Linked DNA regions of Oryctolagus cuniculus. The protein of the gene in region 2 interacts with the protein of the main gene of each other region in a pairwise test. Links are inferred from orthologs where the notes say so. Each region holds a gene or a part of one and is shown on either strand. Other genes may lie near its edges.

Region 1 (10,654 bases), on a different chromosome or scaffold from region 2:
GCCTAGTGAGCCGCGGCGCCGGCCTCCATCTCCGTGTTGACTCGAAGGCAGTGGGCAGACCTGGGACAGCTATGTCTGGGCTCAGGGACATCTTTGGTCACACGGCCCCTGGGCCTCAGTTTTTCCTTCTGCAAAGTGGGGGTAATAAACCCGCTTCTCCGGGCCAGCGCTGTGGGAGCAGCAGGTTAGGGCCCCACCTGCGATGCACCGGCTGGATTCCCGGATGCTCCACCTCCCAGCCAGCTCCCTGCTGTGTCCGGGAAGGCAGTGGGTGATGGGCCAAGCGCTAGGGTCCCTACCACCATGTGGGAGACCCAGATGGAGTTCCTGGCTTCTGGCTTTGGTCTGGCTCAGCCCTGATCATTGTGGCCATTTAGGGAGTGAACCAGCAGACAGAAAAAAATAAATAAAACTGGGGTCGGCGCTGTGGCGTAGCGGGTAAAGCCACCACCTGCAGTGCCGGCATCCACATGGGCGCTGGTTCGAGTCCCAGCTGCTCCTCTTCGGATCCAGCTCTCTGCTGTGGCCTGGGAAAGCAGTAGAAGATGGCCCAAGGGCCTGGGCCCTGCACTCGCGTGGGAGACCCAGCGGAAGCTCCTGGCTCCCGGCTTCCGACCCGCCCAGCTCCAGCCGTTGCGGCCACTTGGGGAATGAACCAGCGAACAGAGGACCACTCTCTGTCTCAAATTAAAAAAAAAAAAAAAAAAAAAAGACTGCTGCCTCCTCCGCGGCCCACACAGCCACGTCAGCCATGAGAAACAACAGGGGCGTCTGGCTGGGGCGCGGGGCCGGGCCCACACGCGGGGAACGTGCTAGAACGCTAGCTCGGGCCTCAGCGTTCAAATGCCGGGTCTCCCATTTGTCCCGACCCACTCAACCGCTGAGCCCGGGCCTCACGGAGAACACGAGAGCTTAGGACAAGGCGGTTGTTCCCAGGTGTGTGTGCGGGGTGGGTGCGGGACAGTTAGAAGCGGCACCTGCCCCCCTCCACGCACGAGAACTCCGCGGCCCCGGCCCACAGGCCCCGCCCCGCCGCCCACGCCCCGCCTCGCCCTTCCGGGACCGCGCTCGTCTCGCGCACTTTCAAAGTGCGCGAGCTCCGGCCGAGACCCGGGGCCGACGGTTGGTCGGACGGAACCATCTGCTACGTTGCGTGGGGGGAGCGGAAGGCCTCCACGCCCACTTTTTTTCCCCCAAGTCTTTAACTTTCCAGCCCAAGTGCTGGTTCACGGTAGCGTTCAAATCCTCTCCGCGTGCTCATACTCTCAGGAGGAACCCAGTCTCCAGGATAAGGGCGGGTGTGGGTCCGTGCGGCGTCCTCCCCCTCTCGACGGGGAGCCGGTGGAGAGGACGACGGCCGGCGGGGGGAGGAGGAGGCGGCCCTAGCGCCATTTTGTGGGAACGAAGCGGTGGTAGCTGCGCTGCTCTCGGACCCCGGGCTGCTTCCGTCTCCCCGTCGGGCTCCCTAGCAGCGGCCTAGCGGGTGAGTCGCGGACGCTTCTCACTGAGGATGCCCGGGGCGCCCCGGCAGCTTCGGGCAGGAAGGGAGCCGTGGGGCCCTGCCCGAGCGGGCTCGCGCGGGAGCGTCGTTAGGGCCCGGCGCGGACTGGCAGCCGGCGCCCGGACAGGGACGCGGGGCCCGCGGGGCCTCGGGCGGAGTTTGGGCCTGGTCTGTCCGGGCCGGGGCAGCGCGAGTGCGATCGGGACGTGCGCCGCGGGGGCCGGCGGCCAGCCCAGGCCTGTGCCCCTGCGGCCCCACCCAGGGCCGCGCCGCAAACTCCGCCCTCGGCCGTCACGCGCTGGCTGCCGGGAGGGGCGGCTCGCCCGAGGCCCGGCTCCGGGAGCCCCGCCGAGGACCTTGCTCGCTGGCGGCTTCGCCCTGCTGGGCGCCCAGGCTTCCGTAGGGACGTGTGCCCCGGCCCGCGCGCCGGTGTAGGCTGCCCCGGCCCCCAGCGGTAGGTTTCTCAGGACTGCAGTGCGAGAGTTGGGGGGTGACCGTGTGTGCGGGGGCTGCCCCCGGGGCCACGTGGGGACTCGGGACGGTCGGAAGCAGCGGACTGGCCGGGCGGCGCGTTTTCTAGAACGTGTCCCTGGCCTCCCCCGTTCTCCAGGGCTGACCCCCACGCAGGACAGTGCGAACAGCAGTTTACTTGTTGGAAGTCAGGACAATAGCGGCGGCGGTGTTAGCACGTGGGTACAGGGGCGTGAGCAGCCTCGCGCGAGCCCGGGTCACCCGTGTGTCTTTTTCCTTTTGAAGAACAACAAGGGAAGATGTCGGAGTACATCCGGGTCACGGAAGACGAGAATGACGAGCCCATCGAGATACCGTCCGAGGACGACGGCACCGTGCTGCTGTCCACCGTGACGGCCCAGTTCCCCGGCGCCTGCGGGCTGCGCTACCGGAACCCGGTGTCGCAGTGCATGCGGGGCGTCCGGCTGGTGGAGGGGATCCTGCACGCCCCCGACGCCGGCTGGGGGAACCTGGTCTACGTCGTCAACTACCCCAAAGGTGGGTCCCTGCCACCTCGCTGGGGGACCCTGGTCTGTGTTGTGGGCTACCCCAGAGGTGGGGCCCTACCACCCCACCCCGCTGGGGGACCCTGGTCTACGTAGTCACCTACCCCAAAGGTGGTTCCCTGCCACCCCGCTGGGGGACCCTGGTCTACGTAGTCACCTACCCCAGAGGTGGGGTCCTACCACTCCACCCTGCTGGGGGACCCTGGTCTACGTAGTCACCTACCCCAGAGGTGGGGTCCTACCACTCCACCCTGCTGGGGGACCCTGGTCTACGTAGTCACCTACCCCAGAGGTGGGGCCCTACCACCCCACCCTGCTGGGGGACCCTGGTCTACGTAGTCAACTACCCCAGAGGTGGGGCCCTACCACCCCGCTGGGGGACCCTGGTCTGTGTTGTGGGCTACCCCAGAGGTGGGACCCTGCCAGCCCGCGGGGGGACCCTGGTCTGTTGTCGGCTACCCCAGAGGTGGGTCCCTGCCACCCCACTGGGGGACCCTGGTCTGTGTTGTCGGCTACCCCAGAGGTGGGGCCCTACCACCCCACCCCGCTGGGGGACCCTGGTCTACGTAGTCACCTACCCCAGAGGTGGGGCCCTACCACTCTGTGTGGAGCTGCGGCGTGGACTGGGGCTGCTGTTTGGCAGGACGTTTCTAACCCTAGCATTGCCCTAAACTTCAGTGTCAGGCTGACTTGGGAGACCACCCCTCTAAACTAGGGAAAGTGAGAAAGCTGTGTGTAAGCTGTCATCTGCGCACGCGTGGCCGAGTGGGTAATAGGTGTGTCTTGCAGATAGTGTCCTGCCTTGCAGATAGGTTTTTCTATAGCACCAGGTAGTTTGCTTTGATGGTGGTCTTTCTTTTGTTTGTTTGTTTGTTTTTATTTCACAAAGTTATAGACAGAAAGGTCTTCTTCCGTTGGTTCACCCCCCAAATGGCCGCTATGGCCGGCGCTGTGCCGATCAGGAGCCAGGTGCTTCCTCCTGGTTTCCCATGGGGTGCAGGGCCCGAGGACCTGGGCCATCCTCCACTGCACTCCCAGGCCACAGCAGAGAGCTGGCCTGGAAGAGGAGCAACCAGGACTAGAACCCGGGGTGCTGGTGCCGCATGTGGAGTATTAGCCACGTGAGCCACGGCGCCGGCCGGTGGTGGTCTTTCTGGTCATTCAGTCAGCTCTTCTGAGTTCTTAAATCATAGAGCAGACCTTGGGTGAGGGCAGTGCCAGCTGCAGTCGTGGGGGTTCTGAGGCTGCACTCGCTGCCTCTCAGCACTGATGTCCTGGATGAGAGGAGCAGCGTGGGGGTGTGCTGGCTGACCCAGCTCCTGCTGCTGGGGCTGCCCAAGTCAGCCGACTGCAGTTGGCAAGTAGGCAAATAGCTGACTTTAATGTGTGTCCAGAAAAAAGTAGAAACTCAAATTTCTTTAATACGCTGTTCCTTGAGCAGTTGACTACAAATTGCCGTCTGCCCCAGTTTACAGTGTCACTTAGGTGGGGTGCTGGTTGCCCTGTCGCGGTGCCCCCTGGGCCAGCACCCTGCCGATGCACTGGGGGAAGCAGCAGAGGCCGGCCTGAGCGCGTGAGCCCCTGCGCCCGTACGGGGGATCCAGGTGAAGCACCTCGCGTCTGCCTGGCCCAGCCTTGGGCGTTGCAGCTGTCTGGGGAGTGACCCAGCGAATGGGAGATCTCCTTCTGTCTCTCCTCCTTTATCTGTAGCTCTGCCTTTCATAAGTCATTTAAAACGATGCCGCTTGGTGGGGCCAGTGCCGTGGCGTAGGGGGCTAAGCCTCCCCCTGTGGTGCTGGCATCCTGTATGGGCGCCGGTTCAATTCCCAGCTGCTCCTGTTTGATCCGCTCTCTGCTGTGGCCTGGGAAGGCAGTGGAGGATGGCCCAGGTGCTTGGGGCTCTGCACCACTTGGGAGACCAGGAGGAAGCTCCTGGCTTCAGATCAGCTCAGCACTGGCCGTTGCGGCTATCTGAGGAGTGAGCCAGTGGATGGAAGACCTTTCTCTCATTTCTCCTTCTCTCTGTAACTGTAACCTCTCAAATAAATAAAATCTTAAAAAAAAAAAAAAAAGATGCCGCTTGGGGTGTCTGCATGCGACACTGGAGTGCTTAGGTTAGGTTTGAGTCGCACCCGCCTCTGCGTCCACGTCCATTTTCCTGCTCATGGACGTCCTGGGAGGCAGCAGGTGATGATTCAGGTCGTTGGGTTGTGGCCTGACAGTGTGGTGCCGTGGGTGCTGCCGTCCCATATAAGCACCAGTTCAAGTCTTCACTGCTCCACTTCTGATCCGGCTCCCTGCTTATGCCCTGGAGAAGCAGCAACAGATGACCCAAGTGCTTGGACCTCTGCTACTCACGTGGGAGAACCAGATGGAGTTCCTGGCTTTAGCCCATGCCTGGCTGATGGGGCCATTTAGGGAGTGAACCAAGGGATGGAAGGGGGCCTTTTGTTATTGTATTTTAAAGATTTATTTATTGGAAAAGCAGAGAGAGCTTCTATCCCCTGCTTCACTCCCCGAGTGGCTGCAGTGGCCAGGGTTGGGCCAGGAGCGAGTGGCAGGGATCCCAGTACCTGGGCCTTCTGCTGTTTTCCCAGGCACATTAGCAGGCTGTTAGTGCCCACGTGGGATGCCAGGCGTCTCACGTGGCAGTTCAACCCACTGCACCACAATGCTGGGCCCATAAATAAATCTTTTTTATTTTTTAAGATAATTTATTTGAAAGGCAGAGTAACAGAGAGAGAGGGAGATAAACAGAGTTCTTCCATCTGCTGGTTCAGTCTCCCAGGTGACCACACTGATCAGGACTGGGCCAGGCCAAAGCCAGGAACTTGTAACTGGTCTCCAGCGTGGTTCAGGAGCCCAGGCACGTAGGACATCCCATGCTGCACTCCAGGCACGTTAGCAGAGAGCTGGGTTGGAAGAGGAGCAGCAGGAACTCCAGCCGGTTCCCATAAGGGATGCTGGTGCCGCAGGCTGTGGCCTTAACCTGCTACACCACAGTGCCAGCCCCGCAAATAAATCTTTCCCAAAAAAAGGGTCAGGCTGAGTCCTTGCCACCCATGGGGGAGACCCGATTAAGTTTCCTGCTCCTGGCTTTGGCCTGGCACACCCCAGCTGTGTGGGCGCTTGGGAAGTGACGCAGCAGACCGGAGATCGAGTCCCTCCTTCACGCCTGCGTGCTCTCTGCTTTTCAGATAAAGAATGTCATTTAGTTCATCTCCTTTCTAAATAACCTTAAGATTAGGTTTGGCTTTTAAAAATAACCCGAGGTTTTTGTTTGGTTTGGTTTTTTAATGGCACAGTTTGTGTTTATTGTTGAAGGCTCAGGAAAGACAGGAAACGTCCACAGCTGGAGCTGAAGTGCAGGCATCCAGAGAGGCAGGCAGAGGCGTGTGCTCTAGCATGTTTCACTTATTTGAGAGCAGAGAGAGACAGAATGGGCTCCCCTCTGCTGGCGGACTCCCCAGAGGCCCCACTGGCCAGGACTAGTCCAGGTCAAACTGGAGGAGGATTATTTTTGTTTCGGTAAAGCTTCTTCTTTTTTTTTTTTTTTTTTTTTTTTTTTTTTTTTTTTTTTTTTTTTAAGAGAGAGAGATATTTTAATTATTTATTTGAGAGGTAAGGTTGCAGAAAGAAAGGTCTTAGAGTCACTGGTTCACTCCCCAAATGATAGCAATGGCCGGAGCTGTGCTGAGGCCAGGAGCCAGGAGCCTCTTCCAGGTCTCCCCCATAGATGGAGGGGCCCAAGGACTTGGACCATCTTCCGTTTTCCCAGGCACGTAATGAGGGAGCTGAATCGGAAGTGGAGCAGCCAGGACTCGAACCAGTACCCATGTGGGTTGTTGTGAAGTATTAACCTGTGCCACAGCGCCATCCCTGGGTAAACCTTTGAGAAGGAGGCTATAGATGAGATTGTGATCTTGAGATACTGCGAAGCCGGCGTTAGGAATCTCAGCCATTGGGAAAGCGCCGCAGCCCCTTGTCGGAGCCTCCTCTGTCTTGAGTGCTGACGTCACTCTTGGCCAAGCGTTTTCAGTCTTCACAGATTGATTTCTCGGGGTGGGAGGCAGTATGTTTTAAAGGGACGTGCTAAATGAAGATTTTTTTAAGAAGATTTCTGTTCATTTTGCTCAGATAACAAGAGAAAAATGGACGAGACCGATGCTTCGTCAGCAGTGAAGGTGAAGAGAGCCGTGCAGAAAACATCGGACTTGATAGTGCTGGGGCTCCCCTGGAAGACGACCGAGCAGGACCTCAAGGAGTACTTCAGCACCTTCGGAGAAGTTCTCATGGTGCAGGTAAGCTGGACTCGCTCAGCGGCGGACACGCAGCTCCCTGGCTCTTACTTCAGTGGCACTGTCTTTCGTGTTTGGATGATTATTTTTAAAGCAGAAAGCAGCAAATTTTTTTTTTTTTTTTAAGATTTATTTATTTGAAAGGTGGAGTTCAGAGGCAGAGAGAGAGAGGTGTCTTTCATCACTGGTTCACTCTGCAAATGGCCGAAACAGCCAGAGCTGGGCCAGTCCGAAACCAGGAGCCTGCAGCTTCCTCCAGGTCTCCCACGTGAGTGCAGAGGCCCGAGGACTTGGACCGTCTTTGCTGCTTTCCCAGGCCATGGCAGAGAGCTGGGTTGGAAGTGGAGCAGCCGGAACTCGAGCTGTTGCCCACATGGAATGCTGGCGCTGCAGGCGGCAGCTTTACCCACCATGCCACAGCGCCAGCCTGTTGGAGGGTGTTCTAAAGTCCTCATACAAAGTTAGCAGAGGACGCCTGGCTTACATGGTTCCCTTTATTCATGCCCACACGGGACCTTCGATGTTGTAGAATCCTGTGCCTTGAAGGCGTAGGGGAGTAGGTGACATTGAGTTTTTCCTTAAAAGATTTATTTATTTTACTTGAAAGAATTACACACACACACACACACACACAGAGAGAGAGAGAGAGAGAGAGAGAGAGAGAGGTCTTCCATCCGCTGGCTCACTCTCCAATTGGCCGTAGCGGCTGGAACTGCGCTGATCCAAAGCCAGGAGCTACTTCTGGGTCTCCCACGTGTGTGCAGGGGCCTTTAAGTGTTTAAAGGAACGGGAAATTTTTCTGCTTTTCCCATGTGATTAAGTTTGTAAACACTGACGACTGGCGTTGTGGCACAGCAGAACAGTGGGCTAAGCCGCTGCTTGGAATGTCAGCATCCCCTGTTGGAGTGTGGTTTCCAGTCCTGGCTGCTCCACTTCCAATCTTAGTAGGCCTGGGAAGGCGGCAGGTGGTGGCCCAAACACCTAGGTCCCTGCGGTCATGGGAGAGACCTGGAAGGAGGGCCTGGCTCATCCCCAGCTGCTGTGGCCATCTGGGGAGTGAACCAGTAGATAGAGTCTCTCTCTCTCTCTCTCTCTCTTTCTCTCTTTCTCTCTTTCTCTCTTTCTCTCTTTCTCTTGCTCTACCCTTCAGATATATTAAAAAATTTTTTTAAAGCTGGCACTTATTGTAAAACATTGTTAAAATTCTGTTGTGTCACTTGAGTTTTACTCTGTCCATTAACATGATCTGGATCCCTCTTGCTGCCTTTTATTTTCCTCAGTACTTAGCTTCATCGACATCCTAATTCAGCCACTGCGTTCATGGAAGCCGTTCAGTTTTCAGGAACTTTTGATTTAGGACTGCGAGTTTGAGTGCATGCGGATATTTTAGGAGTAAATTGTCTCTTCTAGGTCAAGAAAGATATTAAAACTGGCCATTCCAAAGGGTTTGGCTTTGTTCGTTTCACGGAGTATGAGACGCAGGTGAAAGTAATGTCCCAGCGGCACATGATAGATGGACGATGGTGCGACTGCAAACTTCCTAATTCTAAGGTACTTGGCTCTCCCTCTGTGGGTTGGGGATTTTTACTGACAGGCTTTCTTAGAAAGTGCTGTAAAATAAAACATTAAGTACAAGGGGGGTCTTTAACAAAATTGATGAAAGGTACGTATTTATGAAAAACAACTGAATTTTTTTAAATTTTTTGCTCCAGAATTTTTTTTTTAAGATTTACTTATTTACTTGCAAGTCAGAATTATACAGAGAGAGGAGGAGAGGCAGAGAGAGAGGTCTTCCATCTGCTGATTCACTCTCCACTTGGCCACAGCAGTTGGAGCTGTGCCAATCCGGGGAGCCGGGAGCTTCTTCCAGGTCTCCCGTGTGGGTACAGGGGCCCAAGGACGCTGGATCGGAAGTGGTGCAGCTGGGACTCAAATCAGTGCCCCTATGGGATGCCAGCACCTGCCACGCCACAGTGCCAGCCCCTCCAAGATATTTTAATTCCATTTTCCATTGACTTTGTTAAGTGCCCGCATATGCTTGGGAAAGGCAGTGGCAGGATGTGTTACAGCTTTTGCCTTGTAACTCTTCCAAACTGAAACTTTGCTCGCGTTATTCATGAGTTAATGTTTCCTGCACGGGTGTCTGTTGAAACGTGAAGACGTACAGCGTGTCATACGTTCACCTTGTTATGTAGGCCTGACAGAGCAGTCCTTGTTCAGAGCGTCGTCCCGTCAGGGCCATTCCTGTCGCTGGCTTTTCCCAGGTCCCGTCGCTTTCCTAACTCTGAAGTCTGGTCTTGAAGTCTTGCTGGAGGGAAAGGGCTGGTGGCTCCCTCGCAGGATCCCTCTGCTGTAACCAGACAGACTCTGCTGCTCTCCTCGCGCCCCCCAGCTCTGTCTGACCTCTCCCCTTTCCCTTGGCCAGCAAAGCCCCGACGAGCCCTTGAGAAGCAGGAAGGTGTTTGTGGGGCGCTGCACGGAGGACATGACTGCTGACGAGCTGCAGCAGTTCTTCTGCCAGTACGGGGAGGTGGTGGACGTGTTCATTCCCAAGCCCTTCCGAGCCTTCGCCTTCGTCACGTTTGCAGATGATCAGGTATTTTGCTTGGTGATGCGTCGCAGTGGACAGCCATCCTTAGCTACGCTTTCTGGGCTTGTACGGCAGCGGGATGTGTGGGCTTAGACACGTGTGAGACGAGCAGTGGGTAGCTTTCAGTATGTGCTGTTGGAGAGTATTACATGGTCTTGAAACAGAGTGAGATGCCCCCGCTCCGTGACTACAGCTAAATAAAGGCTGTGCTGCAGAACAGCTAGCGTCGTCGTATTTCTCTCCAGCGTGGATAAATTCTGCGTGCAATCTAGATTTTGTTTCTGCTTATTAGGTGTGTGTTCCGTGGCTTAATCTCCTTTGTCTGCACCCTTATTTCTTACAGGTTGCCCAGTCTCTTTGTGGAGAAGACTTGATCATTAAAGGAATAAGCGTCCATATATCCAATGCCGAACCTAAGCACAATAGCAATAGACAGTTAGAAAGAAGTGGAAGATTTGGTGGTAATCCAGGTGGCTTTGGGAATCAGGGTGGCTTTGGTAACAGTAGAGGGGGTGGAGCCGGCTTGGGGAACAATCAAGGTAGTAATATGGGTGGGGGGATGAACTTCGGTGCTTTCAGCATTAATCCAGCCATGATGGCTGCGGCGCAGGCGGCACTGCAGAGCAGCTGGGGGATGATGGGCATGTTAGCCAGTCAGCAGAGCCAGTCGGGGCCTTCGGGCAATAACCAGAGTCAGGGCAACATGCAGAGGGAGCCCAACCAGGCCTTTGGCTCTGGCAATAACTCCTACAGTGGCTCTAACTCGGGTGCAGCGATTGGTTGGGGATCGGCATCCAACGCAGGGTCAGGCAGTGGTTTTAACGGTGGCTTTGGCTCCAGCATGGATTCGAAGTCTTCTGGCTGGGGAATGTAGACCGTGGGCTGTGGTTGGTTGCTTAGAATGGTGGGAATTCAATTTTTTCTAAACTCATGGTAAGTATATTGTAAAATACATATGTACTAAGAATTTTCAAAATTGGTTTGTTCGGTGTGGAGTATATTCAGCAGTATTTTTGACATTTTTCTTTAGAAAAAAAGGAAGAGCTAAAGGAATTTTATAAGTTTTGTTACATAAAGGGTTGAAATATTGAGTGGTTGAAAGTTGAACTGCTGTTTGCCTGATTGGTAAACCAACACACTACAGTCGATATCGAAAGGTTTCTCCTGTAATCTCTTATCCCTGGACTTGTCAAGTGAATTCTTTGCATGTTCAAAGTGGAAACCATTGATTTAGAGCTACATTCTTTTC
Region 2 (10,754 bases):
GCCTGTCCAAAAAAAAAAAAAAAAAAAGAGCGAGAACATATAAGGTATAATTCTATTCACACAAAATCAAGGAGAATGAAAGCCAATCAGTGGCTGACTGACAGAGCAGCAGGGAGGGGAAGGAGAGAGAAATTACAAAGTGGGGGAAGGAATGTTTTAGAGGTCAAGTTCATTGTCTTGACTGTAGTGATGGCTGCATGGAATTCCACCCTTCACAGAAGTAGTTTATTTTTTGTCATTTGTACTTCAATAAAGCTACAAACAGGGAAGAAATGGGGGCGGGGGGGGGGGGGAGCCAGAGGACAAAAAATTAAAAATCAGTCACAGGATGGCATTTGGCACATCAGTTAAGACTCCTCCTTGGGATGCCCTCATCCCATACTGGAGTGCCTGAGCCCCAGCTCTGTTTCAGATTCTGGCTTCTGTTACTGCGGATAGATAACGTCAAGTGCGAGTGTTCCTGCCACCCATATGAGAGGCCTGGGTTAGTTTTATGCCCCTGCTTTGGCTAGGCCCATTTCAGCTGTTGTGGGCATTTGAGAAGGGAAACAGCAGAAGATCGGTCTCTTTTTCTGCTTTGAAATAAGCAAACAATAAATTTATCAATGAAAATAAACAAATCATTCTTGGAGGACCCATATTGAGTTTAGAGAGAGAAGGGGGAAAAGGTCAAGAAATACTTAAAACTAAAGAACACAATATTCTAGACCTAAGATAAAAGTTATGCCTACGTACAGAATCAGGGCCGTTTATACTGTCAAGGAAAACATAAAATTCAGAACGAAAAGCTGATCCACACCGAATAATGAAAGTAGATCTTCACAAAGAGCACATCCTTCCTTGTTTCTGCCCTGGTTCTGATGTTTCTTAGCTCAGGGCCTTTAGACTTGTTACTCAATCCTTCTGTGTTTCAGCTTTCTCATCAGTAATAACAGTAGTAAGTAAACCAGCAGTCAAAAGTGATTAGAACAGTGCCTTTAGAAAATCAATAGAAAGCAGTGGAAGATGATCCAAGTACTTGGGCCTCTTCTTCCTATGTGGGAGACCTGGATGAAACTCTTGGCTCCTGGCTTTGACCTGGCCCAGGCCCAGCCATTGTGGCTGTCTGGAGAGTGAACCAAAGGATGGGAGACCTCTCTCTTGAATAAATAAAATAAAATCAAGTAAATAAAATTAAACTTTAACCACTATATTCCTAAAGTTGTACTTATGAAATGTATGAGGGCCGGTGCCATGGTGCAACAGGTTAATCCTCTGCCTGCGGCACTGGCATCCCATATGGGCGTGGTTCTAGTCCTGGCTGCTCCTCTTCCAATCCAGCTCTCTGCTATGGCCTGGGAAAGCAGTAGAAGATGGCCCAAGTGCTTGGGCCCCTGCACCCATGTGGGAGACCTGGAAGAAGCACCTGGCTCCTGGCTTCGGATCAGCCCAGCTCCGGCCGTTGTGGCCATCTGGGGAGTGAACCAACAGAAGGAAGATCTCTCTCTCCGTCTTTCCCTCTCACTGCCTATAACTCTACCTCTCAAATAAATAAAAAAAAATCTTAAAAAAAAGAAATGCATGAAGTTTGTGTTCCTTAAATAAAAATTTCTTTGGGGAAAAAAGAAAATCAATACAGTCAAAAGTTGCCTAGCATGGTAAATGTAAGTGTTAGCCATCTGTAAGTTAAATGAATAAATCACTCGCACACTGAAATTGTTATGAACATTAACTAGTTTATTTAAAAAAAAAAAAAGCTAGGCGCCTGTGTTGTGGTACAACAGGCTAAACTACCTGCTGTGATACCAGGATCCCATAAGAGTGCCAGTTCTAGTCTTGGCTGCTCCATTTCTGATCCAGCTCCTTGCTAATACACCTAGGAAAGTAGCAGAAAATGCCCTAACTCCTTGGGCCTTGCACCCACAAGGGAGACACAGATGCAGTTCCAGGCTCTTGGCTTTGGCATGGCCTAACCCTGGTCACTGTGGCCATTTGGGGAGTGAACCAGTAGATGGAAGTTCTCTCCCTGTCTGTCCCTCTCTGTAACCCTTTCAAAGAAATCAATCTTTAAAAAAAAAAAAAAAAAAAAAGATAATTTTCATTACCTGAATTCTATTCCTAGCTATGAATGCTGATTCATGTGTATCAGGGTTGAATGGAGATGTTAAGCCCCACAATGAGTCAGAAAACTCACCTCTCAAACAATATTTTTTTTTTAAAGATTTATTTATTTGTCTGAAAGGCGAAGTCACAGAGAGGCAGAGGAAGAGAGAGAGAAAGAAAGAGAGAGAGAGAGAGATCAATCCATCTACCATCTGCTGGTTCACTCCCCAAATGGCCACAACAGCTGGAGCTGGACTGATCCAGAGCCAGGAGCTGCTTCTAGGTCTCCCACATGGGTGCAGGGGCCCAAGCACTTGGGCCACCTTCTAACGCTTTCCCAGGCCATAGCAGAAAGCTGGATGGGATGGCTGGAGCCGCGGCTCAATAGGCTAATCCTCTGCCTGCAGCGCCGGATTCAGTCCCAGTTGCTCCTCTTCCAGGCCAGCTCTTGCTATGGCCCAGGAGTGCAGTGGAGAATGGCCCTAGTCCTTGGGCCCCGCACCCACATGGGAGACCAGGAGAGGCACCTGGCTCCTGGCTTCGGATCAGCGCGGTGCGCCAGCTGCAGCGGCCGTTTGGGGGTGAACCAACGGAAAAGGAAGACCTTTCTCTCTCTCTCACTGTCCACTCTGCCTGTCAAAAAAAAAAAAAAAAAAAAAACTGGACAGGAAGTGGAGCAGCCAGGACTTGAACCGGCATCCCACTGGCACTGCAGGCAGCAGCTTTATCAGCTCCAGCACAGCTCCAGCCCTGTCAAACACTATTTTTTAAAAAAGTCAACTGAGAATCAAAAACAAAGGAAGCATTTAAGCCATGAACGATAATGCTCTGTAACAGTAACTTTGGGGCCAACGTAGTGGGTAAAAGCCACTGTCTGAATCGCAGGCATCCCATATAGGCACCAGTTTGTGTCCCAGCTGCTCCACTTCCAATCCAGCTCCCTGTTAATGTGCCTGGGAAAGCAGAGGAGGGTCCAAGTACCCGGGCCCCTCCATCCATATCGGAGACAGGGAAGAAGCTCAGGCTACTGGCCTAGCCTGGGGCCCTCATGGCCATCTGGGGAGTAAACTGGTGGATACAAGATCTCTCTCTCTCTCACTCTCACTCTCACTCTCCTCTCTGTAACTCTTTCAAATAAATAAAAACAAATCTTAAAAAAAAAAATAAAAGAAGCTCTCTGAAGAAAGGCATTTTAAAAATAAAAAAGGAAACCTTCCAACATAGACCCCAGAGGAATCTCCAAGAGAATAGAAAACGTCAAGTTAGGATGCGGAAAGCTGTAAAGTGGGGAAAAAAAAGGCAACACCTGGGGCTGATGCTGTAGCACAGTGGGTTAACACTCTGGCCTGAAGTGCCAGCATCCCAAATGGGTGCCAGTTCAAGACCCAGCTGCTCCACTTCCGATCCAGCTCTCTGCTATGGCCTGGGAAAGCAGTGGAAGATGGCCCAATTCCTTGGGCCCCTGCACCCACGTGAGAGACCCGGAGGAAGCTCCTGGCTCCTAGCTTCGGATAGGCGCAGCTCTGGCCGTTGCAGCCAACTGGTGAGTGAACCATCGGATGGAAGACCTCTCTCTCTCTCTCTGCCTCTGCTCTCTCTGTGTAACTCTGACTTTCAAATAAATAAATAAAATCTTAAAAAAAAAAAAAGCAACACCAAAGCAGAAAAAAAGCAAAAGACACAGAATCAAAGTACAAAATCTGAATCTGCAGTAACGATAACCACAATAACATCTGAGCTTGCAGACTTTACAACAAATCTGTGGAGTCAAAACACCAACAATTTTCAACTTTGGATGCCAACAATATAAAACGACATCTGACAAACCAGACTCCCACTGAAACGGAAGCGGAGAGAGAAAAACGGAGATGAAGCTCTGAAAAGCACCAAGTGATACCTTGTACTAGGGATGGCCTTAAAAAACAAAGGCACATTACTTAAAGTTATAAAGTAACTAAGGCCTCCATCACGGCTGATACTCAACAGCTGGGCGCAAAACTGACACATCAAGTATTTACACAGAAGCGAAACAGTTCTGAGCGGAGAAACGGGAGGGGAAGGTGTGGAACAAGGAACTAGTATTGTCTGTATTCGTTCAACCCCAGCGCAAGGAAAAGTGTAATGAAAGGTTGGTAGAAGTGGTAGAAGTCTTTAAGAAACATTCGCTTTAAGCAGAGCACCAGGAAGACCGCGAATGCCACCAAAACCAGGCTTTCGGATTCTCCCCGGATTGCAGCTAAAAAAAGTAAAAATCAGAGTTATCTTCCCGATGGGTGCCAGCGAAAGGGGACTGGGAGCGCCCCCAGGCCTTGCCCAGTTCGCAAGCTCTACCCACGCCTCCGTTCAGAGAGCGTGCAGGAAAAATCCTGCAAACTGAAAGCACCCCGACTCGGCTCGCACACGAGTCAGCCAGCGCACGCCGAGAAGAGGGGGGCACTCATCCACACTCCCACCTAGCCCTCGACTTTCCAACGTGCTTTAACCTGAAATCCCACCAAGAGCAACTAACCGGCCACACACACGCCGGGGAAGACCCTCGAGAGAGGGGCCAGGAAACAAACGAAACAAACAAAAAAAGCCCGCCCCCTGGGTCACTGCACCAGGCAGTTTGTTACAGGCAGGGTTAGCACCCGCGCCTCCCTAACAGGCGAACTCCGCACGGCCCGTCCCCAGCCTCCGGCCAGACCCAAACTGCGCGATCCCCGGAGGAAACAAAGCCGTGGGCGGGGCCTTCCGGTATCGGAAAGGGAAAAAAAAAAAAGCGGGCAGGGGAGGAGCGGCTCTCCCGCCAGTTCCGACCCCGAACGGCCCTTGCCCCGCCCCGGGCGCTCCTCGGGACCCCCAGACTCCGAGCGCCCGCGGTCAACCCCGCGTCCCACCACGGCCGCCCGCGGGGCTGCGACAGAGGAGTGCGGGCTCCCCGGGATCTGAAGACAGGCGGCGGGCCCGAGAGCCGCGGCCTAGGCTCTCCGGGGCCTCCCGGGCGCTAGCGTGACGGCCGCCGGGCGCTTCCTCACCTTCTCTTCCACGCAGTTGACAATGATGGACGGATACTTGCGGCTGAGCCAGCGGAAGAACGCCGGGACTCCCATAGCGGCAGCGCAGCGGCCGGGCCAGCGGACCAGCGTAACCGGAGAGACAGGCAGAGCGGCCGCCGCCGACACCGGCACTTCCTCCCACGTGCGCGCCAGCGACCGGAAGTGATGTCACGGCGTCACCGCCGAGGAAGCCGGGAAGGGGACTTCGCCGCTAGGTTGACGGAGCGGCCCGCGGGGTCCGGGTGGTCCCGGGCTGGGCTGCTTGTGGATGGAGGGGTGGGCGGCGCGCTTGCGCCAGGTGGTCTCAGGCCCGGAGTGAGTCCGAGTTGCGGGGACGTCGGCTGACTCCCTCCGTTTCTGCGGTGAACCGGACTGTCAGGAGGACTGTTTATAAGTGTTGTACTGTAATAAGGCTGGTTTGCATAAATAACTCACTCCACATAGTTGCAGGGTGGAGTTGAGGTGGCATTTAGCATCCAGTGCAGCCTTGAGGACTGTGAAAATACCTGCTGGTGGCACTCCTCTGCACTTCCTAGCCCCGACTGTGCTAGGGGATTATCTCGTTTAACTGTCACTTAAGCCTTCTGAAGGCACTGTCATTACACTCCTCTAACGTACTGCGCATGAGAAAGCCAAGTTGTAGGGTTAACTCACTTGCTGATTGACCCAGCTGGAATTTCGGTTCAAGCAAAGATCGATTAATCGTCTGTCTTTGCACTGACATACTTTTGATGGCTTCCGATGCGTTTATTTTGTCAGCAGGTGGAAGGGGAGGTCTGGAAGAGGAGCCATTTATGTCCATTTACTCAAGCCTGAGAAGGCTCTTGCCCTGGAATCCCCTCTTGGTCTGATAAATCACACTCAATCCTAAAGGCTCACCTCAAGAGGCCTCTAAGAAAGCAGGGTATTTCTCTGGGTTCCCCTGCACACTATTCATTGCCCCGCCCCGTCCCCTGTGCTCTGATGACACTGTGTTGGTGTGGGTATTCGAGTTATCCCATATTTTATGGGAGAATAGCCAGAACTATCCCAGAGGGTTCTATTTCTGGGGAGACTCCTCATTTTACCTAGAGACGGCCCCTCCTTTGACAAGTATCTGGCTCTGCTCCAAGCTGCTATGCATGTACAGGAAATGTACACACATCACAGGGAATGCAGGGATAGGCCGTGGTCAGGTTGAGTCATTCATTGAGAACCCTTGCCCAACGGTTGAGAACTTCGAGCTGTGAGGAATGGGAGGTGGCGCCTCCCAAACTAGAAGAGCAAAATTCAACTTATTGCCATCGTGCAATGAGAGAAGCAGGTGTTAAGTCCCTGAGACCAATGGTTTGTGAGCTCCAGCTAAAATCCCTTCCACAGTTTGGTTGGTAAGCCTATCCTTTGATTTTATGAGCCAATAATAATAATAGTAATTTTTACCATAAGCATGGTTAACTGATGTTCCTATCCCTTGGGAAGGAAAGAGTCCCAACAAACTAGTAGTAAAATTTGGGAAGTGCACAGTTAATTCATCTGGATAAGTTTGCAAAGAGGCATAAAAATTGGAGATTTGGGTGCTCAGAAGAGAGAAAGGTAGGAGAAACCCAAAAGATACGAACTAAATGTTGCGATGCCTTCATCAGCCTAATGTGTCAGGACTAATACTGGATGTGAGTTTTTCTCGGGGAAATGAAGAGAATAGATCTTGTGTTGGGATCACTATGGTCTAGCACAGGCTTGGGCAACATTGCAGAGTTCAAGAAGCCAACTAAGTGGGAATTTATGAGTGCCGGAATTTACAAGAGTGTTGAACCAGACTTTGGATTTCCACCAGCTGGGAGATCAGAGGTTTTTTAAACATTTTTGCCCAGACTGAAGGAGCCAGAAAAGCCCCCCACACACACACCAGTGGATTATATGGATATCAAGAATAGTGTGAAAAATATACAGTATTTAAAAGCCAGAATGTCTGTAAACCCAAGTTGATTTTAAGCCCCATTACCATTGTAATTACCATAGGAAAGAGTCTTTGTGTTTTTGTTTTCTGCCTACTGTTGGTCTCTGGATTATTTAGTTGTCGCTCCCCCTCTTTGCGGAGGAACGACACAGGACCCTGCGTTGTTCTTTCGTCTGCTCGGCCCTCCCCGGGTTTGCTGCTGGTTCTTCCCGGGTTGGCTGCCGTCCCTTCCACCTCCGTGGAAGGGCGGTTCCCCCTGGCCACTTTCCCCACTTCCGCAGGGGAGCGGCACACCGCCGGCCGGCTCTCTTGGGGGCTGCACAGGTGTTCCTTCAGATAGATGTTCCCCTTAGATGTTCCTGGTGCATGCCATCTCTCTCCTCTTTTATAGTCCTCCTCCGCCAATCCCAACTCGGCTGCCCACACGCCGAGTACGCTGCTCTCCTCCAATCAGGAGCAGGATCAGCTCCTGGAGGTCATCACTCAAGTTGGCAAGAGGCAGCTGCGTAGAAGCTGTTTTCTCCTCTCCCAGCGCCATATTGTGGGAGAGCAGATGCATAGAATAAGTCTTAATTCCAGTAACTTAGTCCAGTCCGGGTTGCTCCCCACATTTAGTGCTTCCTTTCCCTCTTTAGCCTTACAAAATTCATTATGAATAACCTGATGTACTTAAAATAGTAGTCATAGTAACTAATTACTGGCTTCCACTTGATGGGACTACAGGATGCTCAGATATTTAGACATTCTTCTGGGTGTTTGAGTGAGGACATTCTTGAGTGAGAGTGAAAAGTTTAATCAGTAATGCAGGTTGCTCTCCATAACTAACATACGCAGGTGTCATCCAGTCAGTTGAAGACATGTGTAGAACATGAAGACCTGTCCCCAGACAAGAGGGGATTCTCCAGCCAATTGTCCTCGTGTTTTATCAGCACTGTCTTCTCTCCTGAGTGGTCTTGAACCTGCTGACTCACACTGCAGATTTGAATTTCCAGGTCTCTATAACTGGGTGTGGCAAATCCTTATGATAACTGTCTCTCTGCAGGTAGAATTACGAAGGTACTTCAGAAAATTCATAGACAAATTTAATTTTAAGATAATAAAAATTTCCTTGAACATTTTGAATGCCCTTGGGATAGTATCTATGTTATTATATGTATATTGTATATATGTAATAGAATTCTGTTTCTCTAGAGAACCTTATTACAGTAGTTTTATTAACTTGCGAATTGTCATGTGCTTTTGCTATTTTATGTGGAAGAAGCCTCCAAACAATTTATTTCCAATTCTAAATCAGTTTTTCTTGAGCTAAATGGAGAGCTGTTCTTCAGAGTTTTGTTTTTAATCTAAATAAAACAAGTTTAGGACCTTTAGAAATCAATGCACTTTGTTGGTGAAAAGATGCTAATCAGGAAATGAGATTTGGGAAATTAAAAGACAGTAAGAGTATTGGTTCAAGAATAGGCAATAGGAAAATGAGGTCCCAAATAGACTTACATATGTATGAACACTTGAATAAGACACGTCGTACTGTAGAAAAGTGGGGAAGGGATACTTTAAAAAAAAAAAAAAAAACATACTGCTGTAATCATTCCTTAGCTAACTGGAAAACATGAATATTCTACCTAGAACTAAACCACACACACACGCACACATACACACACAACCCTCCTATTTGATTATAGTCCTAAATGTGAAAGGCAAAATTACAAAGCTTTCAGAGATAATATAGATGTGCCTGGGAAGGCAGCAGAAGATGACCCAGTAGCTGGGCCCCTGCCACCTATGTGGGAGATCTGGGTGGAGTTCCTGGCTCCTGGCTTTAGCTGTGGGGGTTGGGGTGTGGACCAGCAGATTTGACAACATACACCCACTCTCTGGCACTCTGCCTTTCAAATAAATAAATAAATAAATCTTTTTTAAAAAGATAAAATAGGAGCTGCCGCCGTGGCTCAATAGGCTAATCCTCAGCCTGCAGCACCAGCACCGGGTTCTAGTCCCAGTCCGGGCGCCGGATTCTGTCCCGGTTGCCCCTCTTCCAGGCCAGCTCTCTGCTGTGGCCTAGGAAGGCAGTGGAGGATGGCCCAGGTTCTTGGACCCTGCATCCCATGGGAGACCAGGAGAAGCACCTGGCTTCTGGCTTTGGATCAGCGCGGTGCGCCGGCCGCAGTGCGCCAGCCAAGGCAGCCATTGGAGGGTGAACCAATGGCAAAAGAAGACCTTTCTCTCTTTCTCTCTCTCTCACTGTCACTCTGCCTGTCAAAAATAATAATAATAATAAAGAAAACTAGAAGACAGGATTTGGGATGTTTTTCATCATAAAGAAATGTTTATGTTTGAAGAGATAAGTCTGTTTACCCTAATGAGACATTACACAGTATACATGTATGGAAACATAGTACCCCATAAATATATGCAAGTTTTGTATATCTAAAAAGTATGTTTCAAGAAGGGAAACAGCTCGAGGTGACCTAAAGTTAAAAGATACACTTCCTGGGCCCTGACTGTTGTGGCCATCTTGGGATTGAGCCAGTGGATGAAATATTTTCCCTCACAGTTGCTGAAACCTTTTCAAATAAATCTTTAAAAAATAAAATAAAGGAAAAGAAGTAACACTCATGTATTGCAAATACAATGTTTTGTCAAACTTTGTTTTAAATATTTGTCCAACAAATTGATAGGAATTACAAACTACTGTAGTATTAATGATCTTGTGAATATTTCAAAATTTCTATGAGTGAAGTTCAACATCTTGTCCTTTGATTATTGTATGCAGCCCTTGCCTATCTTCCTGCTGGACTGTGATCTTTTTCCTTTTTATCTGTTGAACTTTTTATTTAGTAGCACCATGAAGCCTTTGACTATAATGTGTAAAAATGCTATCTCAAAAAAATTAAAGGGGGGCCAGCACAGAGGCATAGTAGGTTAAACCTGTCTATAGTGCCAGCTGCTTCAAGCCCTGCTGCTCTACCCCGATCCAGCTCTCTGCTGTGGCCTGGGAAAGCAACAGAAGATGGCCCAAGTGCTTGGGCCCCTGTACCCACATGGGAGACCCAAAAAAAGCTCCTGGCTCCTGGTCACAGGCCGGCAGCTCCAGCTGTTGCCTCTATTTGGGGAGTTAACCAGCAGGTGGAAGACCTTTCTTTCTTTCTCTCCCTCTTTCTGTCTGTAACTCTGCCTCTCAACTAAGTAAATATATCTTTACATTTTAAAATGTCAAAAATATGTATGGGACCTGAGTCTCCACACAGGTTCAGGGGTGCAGGGCAGAGTCTGCAAGTTGTCTTTTTGCATTTTCTCTAGCACTGAAACTGCTCCTGCTCAGTCGTTCCTTAGGTGAACATTTGTTGGGCATTTACTGTGTGCCACTGGGGAGGCCAAGAGGATTTTTTTTTTTTTTTTTTTTGGTCGGGAAAGAAGGGAAGGGAGTGGCGCCTCCCAGGATGCTTCCCTGGCTCTGTAGCTCCCCACAACTTCCTCCAGAGAGCTCATTAACCTGTAACTCCAGACTGCTTGGCCTCGTTCCAGCTTCTCCGACAAAATGCCCAGGGAAGCAGTAAAATTAAATTTTATTCAGAAATGTATTATGACAGCTTTCCATTTTTTGGTCTAAACACCTGCCAACTGTTCTTTGAGTTTCCCTTCTGAGATCATATTATGAAAATGATGCTCCCTTAGGACATGATAGAAAAAATTTCAGC
Region 3 (10,654 bases), on a different chromosome or scaffold from region 2:
GTTGACTCTTTCAAAAGATTAATAAGAAAGCAAATATCTGATGAGACTGAACAAGATAAATCAGAAAATAAAGTAGAATGAAGAAATATCTACAAAAGCAAATGTTTTTAAAACAATCTTAAAATTGTGAATGAACATGTAGCAATACATTTGAAATGCATGAGAAAATGAATTAATGTCTCGAGGAGAAATAAATGTTAAAATGGAAATAGGCTTTCAGCTAAAGATTGTGACATGGTAATAAAATGACTCGCTCAGCAAAGCCCTTTCAGGAGAAGGATGGGGAAACCAAGAATGGAAAAAACAGGTAGTGTAATCTCAGTGATTACAAAGTGTTATCAGAAGTTAAATACAGACTGAAGCAACAAGATACACTTCACCCCATCAGATGGGCTAAAATTAGAAAACAAAAACACCAAAGTCTAGCGCTCTTAGGGATTATTGCTTCTCAGGGATACCAGAGCCCATTCCTTTCCTCTGATCTAGGGCATTGCTTGGGAATTCTGCCCTCTCCCTTTGTCTTTTATTGAAAATTCAATTGGCACAGAGCTTCATCAGAAAGGACAATGGATGCATTGCTTGATGAAATTTCTTTTTTTTTTTAAATTGCTACTTTTTAAAAAAAATTTTACTTAAAGTTTACGAATTTCATGTATTACCTATATACAGATTCAGGAACACAGTGATACTTGTCCAACCTACCCTCCTTCCCGCACACACTCCCACCATTCTTCCTCCTCCCTCTCCTATTCCCATTCTTATTTTTTACAAAGATCTATTTTTCAGTTAATTTTATACTTATAAGATTAACCCTTCACTCAGTAAAGAGTTCACCGAATAGTATGAAGGAAAAGAACCACTGTTCCTCAACACTTGAGACAAGGGCTGTTAAAAATCAAAATGAGCGTCCTCTCTGACATGTTAAGCCCCCTTATGCCTCTCTGACTTGCTGCTCCTCTTCTCCCTAAGGTTATCACTATCCTGATTAATAACACCATGGAAAATACAAATGGAATCATAGTGCATACTTTTTGTCTTGTTTTGTTTTTGTTCACCGTTATATTTATGAGTTTCATCTATATGCTTATATATAGCAATAACCCTTCCATCTTCTTCGCATATGATATTCTATCAAATGTATGTTGCACAATTTATTTGTCCATTCTGCCATTTATGGACATTTGGTTTTTACTCCAGATTTTGTTACAAATAATGTGACATGATCATATATACAATTTATCTTTATTATTCATGTATTCTATATTTCTGATTCAACTACTCATTAAAGTTTATTTGTAATTTCAAAATCAACATTCCCACAACTTTCTCTGTCATTCAGGGACGTACACAGACTGGCAAACACTTTGCATCTCCCACAAGCTTGTTCCCAGTTCAGGCTGATCAAAGCAAAGCTGCCTTCTTTTTTCAGCTCTCATATTGTAAACAAGTATCCTTTTTGCCTTTCCATTTAGTGCCATGTTTTTCTTCTTTTTATGCTCTTTTTTTTTTTTTGGAGGGGAGGTCATTTTGTTGTTTACAAAGACCCCCAAGTGCAGGGCCAAAGTGCCATATAGTGTTCCTTACCATAGGGAGACTGTGAAGGTGCCTTATGAAGAAAACACATATTACAAAAGCTCCACAACATGCATGAGTTATATAATCCTGTTAGCAGTTAGCTCAGTGTTAATTAACCAGCAGTGTATATTAAATAGGGTATCTTTAAACAGAAGCACACATATATATTGATCAGTTGATTAAAAATTTATGATCAGAGACTCAATTTTGTGACAGGAATCTCACCTATATTTCCTCCAGGAGCAGTGATTTTTTTTAGAGCATTTCTATTGTGAATAATAAAAGTCAGCTTATATATGTATTTTATTTTATAAATACTTAGAAGTTGTATTCATGGGTCATATGATTGACCTATTGTTCCACATTAGTAGACAGATAAAGAGTTTTCAAAGATATTCCATTTATGCACACTCCCACTGGCAGTGTGTGAGAACTCTCATAATTCCATATCTTTTTCAACCCTTGATGTGGTAAGGTTTTTTGTCATCTTGTTGATTTGTAGTACATCACTCTGTGGTTTAATATGCTTTTTCCTGATGATTAATGATGTTTCAGCATCTTTTCATGAGTTGCTTATTGATCATTCAGATGCCCTCTTTTATGAAGTGCCTGTTTAATCTTTGCCCACTTTCAAAATTGGGTTTTCTGTCTTTTTCTAATTGACTTTAGCAGTCCTGTTAATGTCTGGAACCAGTCTTTTATTGGTTATATATATTACAAATAATTTCTCCCACTCTGCAGCTTACCGTTAATTCTGTTAATGATTTTTTTTTTTTTTGACAGGCAGAGTGGACAGTGAGAGAGAGAGACAGAGAGAAAGGTCTTCCTTTGCCGTTGGTTCACCCTCCAATGGCCACCGCGGTCGGTGCGCTGCGGCTGGCGCACCGCACTGATCCGATGGCAGGAGCCAGGTACTTCTCCTGGTCTCCCATGGGGTGCAGGGCCCAAGTACTTGGGCCATCCTCCACTGCACTCCCTGGCCACAGCAGAGGGCTGGCCTGGAAGAGGGGCAACCGGGACAGAATCCGGTGCCCTGACCGGGACTAGAACCCGGTGTGCCGGCGCCGCAGGCAGAGGATTAGCCTAGTGAGCCGCATAATGAAGTTAAATTTATCATTTGCCTATGTTTAGTATTTTCTGCTTGTTTTTACAGTCTGCTTACCACTGTCATAAAGATATTACTCTGTTATCTTCTACAATCCACCTGAAATTTCTATTTTTATCATGTGAGTTATTAATCATGATTTAGTGTATTTCTATAGTGATATATAGTTACCATAACAAAATATGTTCAAAAGGTTGTCTTTTCACACTTTATCTCTGATAATGCTTTGATGACATTGTATCATTCCTATCCTTTTACTTACTACTTGTTCATAAGCTTATAATTAATGCATGTCTCCTGTAAACTCTATATAATTAGATTTTGATCTTTTATTCTAATCTAAGATCTTTGTCTTTTAAATATATTATTTATCTACTTATATTTAATGTAATTCCTGATCTATTTGGGTTTACATCTTTCCACTATTTTTCACATCTGTTTCATGTTCAGTTCTTCCTCTTATTGTTTTCATTAAAGTAATAATAAAGTTGTACTAATTGTTAAAATTCTCTTCCATATTAGCTTGCCTCTTATATACTCTTTTACTTTTGTGTTTTATGATTACTATAAAGAGTTCAGTGTGAATCCTTGACTTTTCAGTCTAATATAAATGGACATTTTTACTATTTTCTGGACAATTCTAGGATCTGAAAATATTTTAGTTGCTGTTGCTTTCTCCTTCCCTTTGCACTGATTGTCATGTATTTTAATTTTACATGTATTTTAGACCATAAGTAGTCTGGGTGCTCGTGACTGTGGGAGGTTTGTGTGCCGGGACTGTGAAAACACTGAAGCTGTGTGGGAGGACTCAAGGTATGGCTGGACATTGGCCAGTCACTGTGGGAGGCTCTACACAATCAGGACTTCCTGGTTACCTGGCAAGGGACATTGTTGAGTAATCTGAGCTTACACTGAGGACTACCTAGATTCTTTGTGTGGTCCTTGTGGCACAGCAAACAAATAATATACTCACTGGGGCAGGCGCCCAGGCACTGGTCTCCTTCAAGGAGAGGAGCTCAGCTAAGTCTATGCCAACAGACAAGAATAAAACTCCCCTCTGATGAAAAATAAAAATTAAAAATTAAAAAGGAGATTTACCACACCAAATCTGAGTGTGTCACCTCAGACACCCTTCACCCTGGAGCACTGAGCAGAGCTCCCTGGCCACACCCACCACATGCTTCTAGGTATTCCTGAAAGCAGACACTCCACTGATCCATCTAGATATAATCCAGAGGTAAAGTCTCCACAGTGAACAAAGCAAAGAAGAAACCAACGAGTATCTCCACAAATGTGGGATAACAAATGCACCAGTTCAAGAAACAAGAATAAAGAAAACAACATGACACCCCCAAAAGAATGCACTTCAGTTCTAGACTGTGAAGATGATGAGATTGAAAAAATGCCACAAATGGAATCCAAAACATTGATCATAGGATTACTTAGAAGTAATCAGAAGCAAATGCACAACTAATGAATTCCATACATGACATGAAAGAAAATTTCTCCCATGAAATTGAGATCTTAAAGAGAAACCAAATGAGGCCGGCGCCGTGGCTCACTAGGCTAATCCTCCACCTTGCGGCGCACCGGGTTCTAGTCCCGGTCGGGGTGCCGGATTCTGTCCCGGTTGCCCCTCTTCCAGGCCAGCTCTCTGCTGTGGCCAGGGAGTGCAGTGGAAGATGGCCCAAGTGCTTGGGCCCTGCACCCCATGGGAGACCAGGATAAGCACCTGGCTCCTGGCTTTGGATCAGCACGGTGCGCTGGCTGCAGCGCCCCGGCTGCGGCGGCCATTGGAGGGTGAACCAACAGCAAAGGAAGACCTTTCTCTCTGTCTGTGTCTCTCACTGTCCACTCTGCCTGTAAAAAAAAAAAGAGAGAGAGAGAGAGAAACCAAATGAAATCTTGGAAATGAAAAATTCAATAGAACAAATAAAAAACAAAAAAACACAGTGGAAGCCTTAACAACAGAATCAGTGAAACAGAAGAAAGAATATCCAACTTAGACGACAAAGCACAGGAAATTATACAATAAGACCAAACACAAGAAAAAGAAATTAGAAAAATAAAAAACACTGTTGGGAATCTATAGGATACTATCAACAATCAACAAATGCTGGTGAGGATGTGGGGAGAAAGGTACACTAATCCACTGTTGGTGGGGATGTAAACTGGTAAAACCACTATGGAAGTCAGTTTGGAGATACCTCAGAAATCTGAATATAGACCTACCATAGGACCCAGCCATCCTACTACTGGGTATTTACCCAAGAAAAATAAAATAAGCAAATAAAAGAATTATCTGCACCACCATATTTATGCAGCTCAATTTACATAGCTAAGACATGGAATTCACCTAAATGCCCGTCAAGGGAAGACTGGATAAAGAAATTATGGGATATGTACTTTATGGAATACTACATAGAGGTAAAAAAAATGAAATCTGGTCATTTGCAACAAAATGGATGAATCTGGGAAACATCATACTTAGTGAAATAAGCCAGTCCCAAAGGGACAAATACCATATGATCTCCCTGATCTGTGATAACTAATAGAGCACCTAAAAACAAATCTGTAGAATGAAATTGACACTTTGAGAAGCAATGACTTGAACAGCCCTTGTCTTGACTGTTGAAGAACTTTTTTAAAAATGGAGAATGGGACTGGGAATGGGAGAGGGAGTAAGAGGTGGGGTGAGATTGGGGGTGGGAGGGCAGGTATGGTGGGAAGAATTACTATATTGCTAAGATTGTACTTATAAAATTTGTACTGATTAAATAAAAGGTTTCTTTGAAAAAAAAGTATCTATCATGAAATCAAATGGATGAATGAAAGATATACTTTTTTTAAATGCAAGATTTTTGAGTTTTCATGAAAAATGAAAAAATTTGTCTACCCCAAGTCCATGTGTCCTACAGATTTAATTGGACTGCACTTGTAACAGACTCCCTACAAGGAAATGTCCTTCCTACCAGCCAGAATCATTTCTTTCTGTTCTCTTTTGGCACCAAGGCTGAATATCTGTTGTGCATTTAATACCACCCCTGCTTGGCTCTCTTTATATGCATTGTATGCTGGGCACGCTAGCATTGGATTTTATGCTCCATGTTAATAGGTTCTAACAATGGAGTGGAAAACAAGATAGAAATAAGCCCTGACCTCAGAGAACAAACCAAAAATCATATAAATAATTAGGATTATGATAAGTAGTCTGAAGGAAAAGTACAAGATGTTAAAGAGAGAAATCATAAAATGTCTCTAATTGGAAGGGAGGGAAGGTTCCTGCAAGAAAAGTTTATTTAAGCTGAAATCTGAAGATACAGCAATTCAGCCGGATGTAGGTATGGGCATATATGGACTGCTGTTGTTTGATGGGAGAGAGATGGTCCAGGAAAATAAAATAGCACATGCATTTGTACTGAGCTGGGGAGAGTTAGGCAGATCTGAGGACCCAAAGAAAGTGCATAGGTTGGAACATCGATATGGACAGAGGCTATGTTGTATTTGGCCACTGGGTCTAGATGGTCTTGTAGAAGACCAAGTGGGCCGGCGCCGCGCCTCACTAGGCTAATCCTCTGCCTTGCAGCCCTGGCACACCGGGTTCTAGTCCCGGTCGGGGCGCCAGATTCTGTCCTGGTTGCCCCTCTTCCAGGCCTGCTGTCTGCTGTGGCCAGGGAGTGCAGTGGAGGATGGCCCAAGTGCTTGGGCCCTGCACCCCATGGGAGACCAGGAGAAGCACCTGGTTCCTGCCATCCGATCAGCGCGGTGTGCTGGCCACAGCACGCCGGCCGTGGCGGCCATTGGAGGGTGAACCAACAGCAAAGGAAGACCTTTCTCTCTGTCTGTGTCTCTCACTGTCCACTCTGCCTGTCAAAAAAAAAAAAAAAAAAAAAAAAAAAAAAGACCAAGTGGCTATGGAGGACCAACACTTATTGTGTGAGAACTTGATGGTATACAGATCTGGCACTCTGAATCTTCTGGCTGAAATAATTTGTTACAATATGAAATGAAATTAAGGATAACATGTCTAGCAGACTTCTATCTAGGTAAATAAGCTATTGACTTGGTCACCATTGATGAGTCACCATTGGGTTAATTTTTATGCTTTTGTTTCCTCCTCTGCCTTAGCTGCAAGTGTCCCCTGCTTGGAAGAGTGTGGGAAGCTGACTTGGAAGCTTGTCGACTGCTTATTCAGAGTCTGCAGCTACAGGAAGCCAAAGGCAGCCTGTGTGTGGAAGATGAGGGGCAGATGGGTGACTTAGAAGGAGCTGCCTGGGCAGTGGCTCCCAGTGTCCCTCCCAGTCCCCACTCTGAAGATGAGAGGACGACCCTTCTGCAAGCTGACCAAGAGTGGAAGGCTCATCATACCCCCTCCCCTCTATGCAGAGGAGGCGAACAAAAAGAGGTGTGTCCTGTCGGCGTGGCCTTCACAGGAAGGCCTGCTCTGGTGGGTGCTTTGGGACCATGCTGTACACAGAAGCAGCACATTTTGGGCAGGCTTATCATCAAACCACACAAACTTGGAAAAGTTTTTTTTTTTTTTTTTTTTTTTTGACAGGCAGAGTGGACAGTGAGAGAGAGAGACAGAGAGAAAGGTCTTCCTTTTGCCATTGGTTGACCCTCCAATGGCCGCCGCGGCCAGCGCACCGCGCTGATCCGAAGGCAGGAGCCAGGTGCTTCTCCTGGTCTCCCATGGGGTGCAGGGCCCAAGCACTTGGGCCATCCTCCACTGCCTTCCCGGGCCACAGCAGAGAGCTGGCCTGGAAGAGGGGCAGCCGGGACAGAATCCGTTGCCCCGACCGGGACTAGAACCCGGTGTGCCAGCGCTGCAAGGCAGAGGATTAGTCTAGTGAGCCACGGCGCCAGCAAACTTGGAAAAGTTTTAATAGCTATTGAATATGATTACAAAATTAAATAGAATTTTTATAGAAGAAATTTTAAACAGAGAAGGACAAGCAGGGAAAATGTTTAACATATTTAGTTTTATTTTTATACTAATATCATAGCTAGATTTAGAATATACAGGCTAATATAGAACTACTTTATATAGGCCACATTATACATGTCAAATATAACTTACAGTTATTATCAATATCCCATCCATGTCATATGTGACATTTAATTATATGTTTAGAATATATTATATTATTACTTTATGGAATTAAGCATTCAAGTATATGTCTACATACTACTAATTTTCTTTACCAAAATCAGATCATAATAAATGGTTGTAATGTGTTTTTTCATAAAAGAACAAGAACTAATATTTGGCCTGGGATATACGTACTACAAATGAAAATGTGGTTTTATTTGATTCTTTATGCTGGAGGCAGACTTGCATGAAGAGAGATGACCTCCCTGGCCTGCTGTCTCCTCCCCTGTCTTTCTCTTCCTCTCTGCTCCTATCCCTCCCCTCTGCCCTCTCTCCCTGTCTTCCCTCTCGAGTCTCCCTCTCTCTGTTCTTTCTCTCCTCTCTTTTTCTCTTGCTCCCCACCTCTCATTATAACAAAAGTCCTTTCAAGGAAAAAGAGCTCCAGGAACTTTGTCCTGATTTCACCGTATTCACTGTAGTCCTCAGGGCTCTTTGTGTGGCCAGGTTACCCGGTATTTTGAGCATGAAAAGGAAACAGAAGCCTGGAGGCTAGAAGAATGTGCTGCTTGGCTGTCTCATGGTTGATTTTAGACATTAAACCCTTCCCTGGGCCTTTGCCAGAACTCACCATGAATGGCTGGGGAGAGCATTCCTCTCCCCACCCCGCCCCATCACAGTTCACATCCTGTCTGCAGATCCGTGGTCTTTGCAGAGTGGCCAGTCATGTACTTTACTGGAACATGACATTTAGTCACAGCCTTCTGGACTGCTGAGAAATTTGACCCGCAGTCTTCTATGTGAATCGAATGAGCTTATGAGAACCCAGGCTGTTGTCAGTCTGGAATCGTTGCTGGCCAAATCACATTAGGTTCAATATGGAACTACAGATGATGGATCTAAGCTGCTTTGTTAATACAGCCACTGCAGGTGGAATCTTCCTGTTGACCTAAATAACACAGAGCAATTCTCCAAAGGTTAATATACTAAGTGAAAATTGTGAATATAATATAATTAGTGAAATATATTTAGTGAAAATAAAATATATATTTTACTGAAAATTGCAGTGGAAATATACAGAGCTTAGTAAACAATGTGCATTTCAAATAGGTTAAAATATGGGAAAGTTTTTAAGGGGAAAATGAGGAAGATGACTTAAATTGTTTTGAAACAATTATCCTTGGCTACAGGTGTAATAAAGGTGGTGTCAGTAGAAGCTTGCATAGGCAGACCAAGATCTACAGGGCAGACATCCTTGTAGAAGTATTTTCTGTGTGAAGTATTGGTGATTTTGTAATAGTTCTAGTTATTAGGCACACATGTGTGAGGTCTCCTCCTCTATAATCTCCTGGATTTATTTATATTTCTGTTAGGGATTGGTATTTTGAGACTGACCACTTTCTCACTCCCCAGCTTGGCCTCCAGTGGTTTAAGCAGAGATGTTGAAAATCTGCCGCCTGCTGCAAGTGGATGGGTCGAAAGCATCTATTCTGATGGAGCAAAGTGTCTCCTAAACATGGGGGTGAAAGCCCTGGAAGGAAGAAACTGCGGGCGACCAGGCTGAGCCTTTGAAGGCAGGGCTTCCAAAGTAGGCTCCCAGCAGGTGCTTCATGCAGGGTCCTGATGGAGGTCAGGATTGATTCCACCGAGCTGGTGTCTACCAGGAGTGCAGTCCCTCCCTGTAAGTGCCCATCCATGGAGAGTCCCAGCTGAGCCACCTGTAATGAAAGATTAACAAGGGAACAGATACACATTTATTTAACATTAAATTTTGGCTGGCACCACGGCTCTATAGGCTAATCCTCCGCCTGCGGCGCCAGCACACTGGGTTCGGGTTCTAGTCCCGGTCTGGGCACCGGATTCTGTCCCGGTTGCTCCTCTTCCAGGCCAGCTCTCTGCTGTGGCCCAGGAGTGCAGTGGAGGATAGCCTAAGTCCTTGGGTCCTGCACCCACATGGGAGACCAGGAGAAGCACCTGGCTCCTGGCTTCGGATCAGCGTGGTGCGCCGGCCACAGTGTGCTGACCGCATCGGCCATTGGGGGGTGAACCAACGGCAAAGGAAGACCTTTCTCTCTATCTCTCTCTCTCACTGTCCACTCTGCCTGCCAAAAAATATATAAATAAATAAATAAAAATAAATAAAAAATAAAAAATAACATTAAATTTTATGTGATATAGGAGTCTTCAGAAATGCAGTCTCAAAGAAAAAGGAAAATCTGTGTATTGTTATGCTTAGTGTCATGAACAAGTGGGCAGTTGTGGAGAACTGTGATTGAGCAAAAGGGGAATGGTTTAGTGGTCATAAAGTGGGGGGAACTTAGCAAGGGCTGTTGTGCAGATTCTTCTCTGTGTCCCTGTATCTTCACAGGTAAGGATGTTTCTTTCCTCTGAGTATAGGGAGGGCCTCTCTTATATCAGAGTCTTAGGAGCAGCTTCAGAGGAAGGCCACAGAACTCTTATGTGCCCTGCGAAGAAGGGCAGGAGGCAATCAGAGAGCTCCTCCTGCTTCTGCCATATCCACACATGCCAATGTGCCATATTTTGGATGGTTTGTCCTGAATACCATCACTCCTGCACCACGCTCTCCCTTCCTCACTGAGTTCCCTTGCCCACCAGGATCGGGGAGGGGGGGGGCGGGGATGACATTGCCAGGTACAGGGGGCTTTTCTTCATCCATCAGATTGTAAGTGCCTGCCGGTTCATTATCTGGTTATGGGAAAACAGGACTGTATTTGCCAAAAAAAGTAGGACATTAGGGAACAAGTATGCAAGAAGAATTAGAGATTTGCCTTATAATGACTTGAATCCCGTAAAAGTCCCATGGGCTGCCAACCATGTTCCATCCCTGAGCATCCTGGTTCCTCTCCACCAGTGGCCGAAGATGT

What was found.
Region 1: the proteins of XRN2 (region 2) and TARDBP interact in binary tests that used the Homo sapiens proteins (3 or more experiments, as listed by UniProt). The link is inferred for Oryctolagus cuniculus from reciprocal best matches to the Homo sapiens genes XRN2 and TARDBP.
Region 3: the proteins of XRN2 (region 2) and DISC1 interact in binary tests that used the Homo sapiens proteins (3 or more experiments, as listed by UniProt). The link is inferred for Oryctolagus cuniculus from reciprocal best matches to the Homo sapiens genes XRN2 and DISC1.

The regions. Positions count from the first base shown.
Region 1 is NC_091438.1:157,255,228-157,265,881, reverse strand, and holds the start of TARDBP (TAR DNA-binding protein 43), read left to right. Parts: upstream 1-1,095; 5' UTR 1,096-1,483; intron 1,484-1,818; exon of another isoform or gene 1,819-1,955; intron 1,956-2,257; 5' UTR 2,258-2,271; coding exon 2,272-2,509; intron 2,510-6,654; coding exon 6,655-6,818; intron 6,819-8,225; coding exon 8,226-8,366; intron 8,367-9,240; coding exon 9,241-9,411; intron 9,412-9,748; coding exon 9,749-10,279; 3' UTR 10,280-10,654. UniProt on the Homo sapiens protein: RNA-binding protein that is involved in various steps of RNA biogenesis and processing.
Region 2 is NC_091442.1:45,837,475-45,848,228, reverse strand, and holds the start of XRN2 (5'-3' exoribonuclease 2), read right to left. Parts: upstream 5,286-10,754; 5' UTR 5,175-5,285; coding exon 5,100-5,174; intron 1-5,099. UniProt on the Homo sapiens protein: Possesses 5'->3' exoribonuclease activity. May promote the termination of transcription by RNA polymerase II.
Region 3 is NC_091444.1:51,495,139-51,505,792, forward strand, and holds part of DISC1 (disrupted in schizophrenia 1 protein), read left to right. Parts: intron 1-6,808; coding exon 6,809-7,085; intron 7,086-10,654. UniProt on the Homo sapiens protein: Involved in the regulation of multiple aspects of embryonic and adult neurogenesis. Required for neural progenitor proliferation in the ventrical/subventrical zone during embryonic brain development and in the adult dentate gyrus of the hippocampus.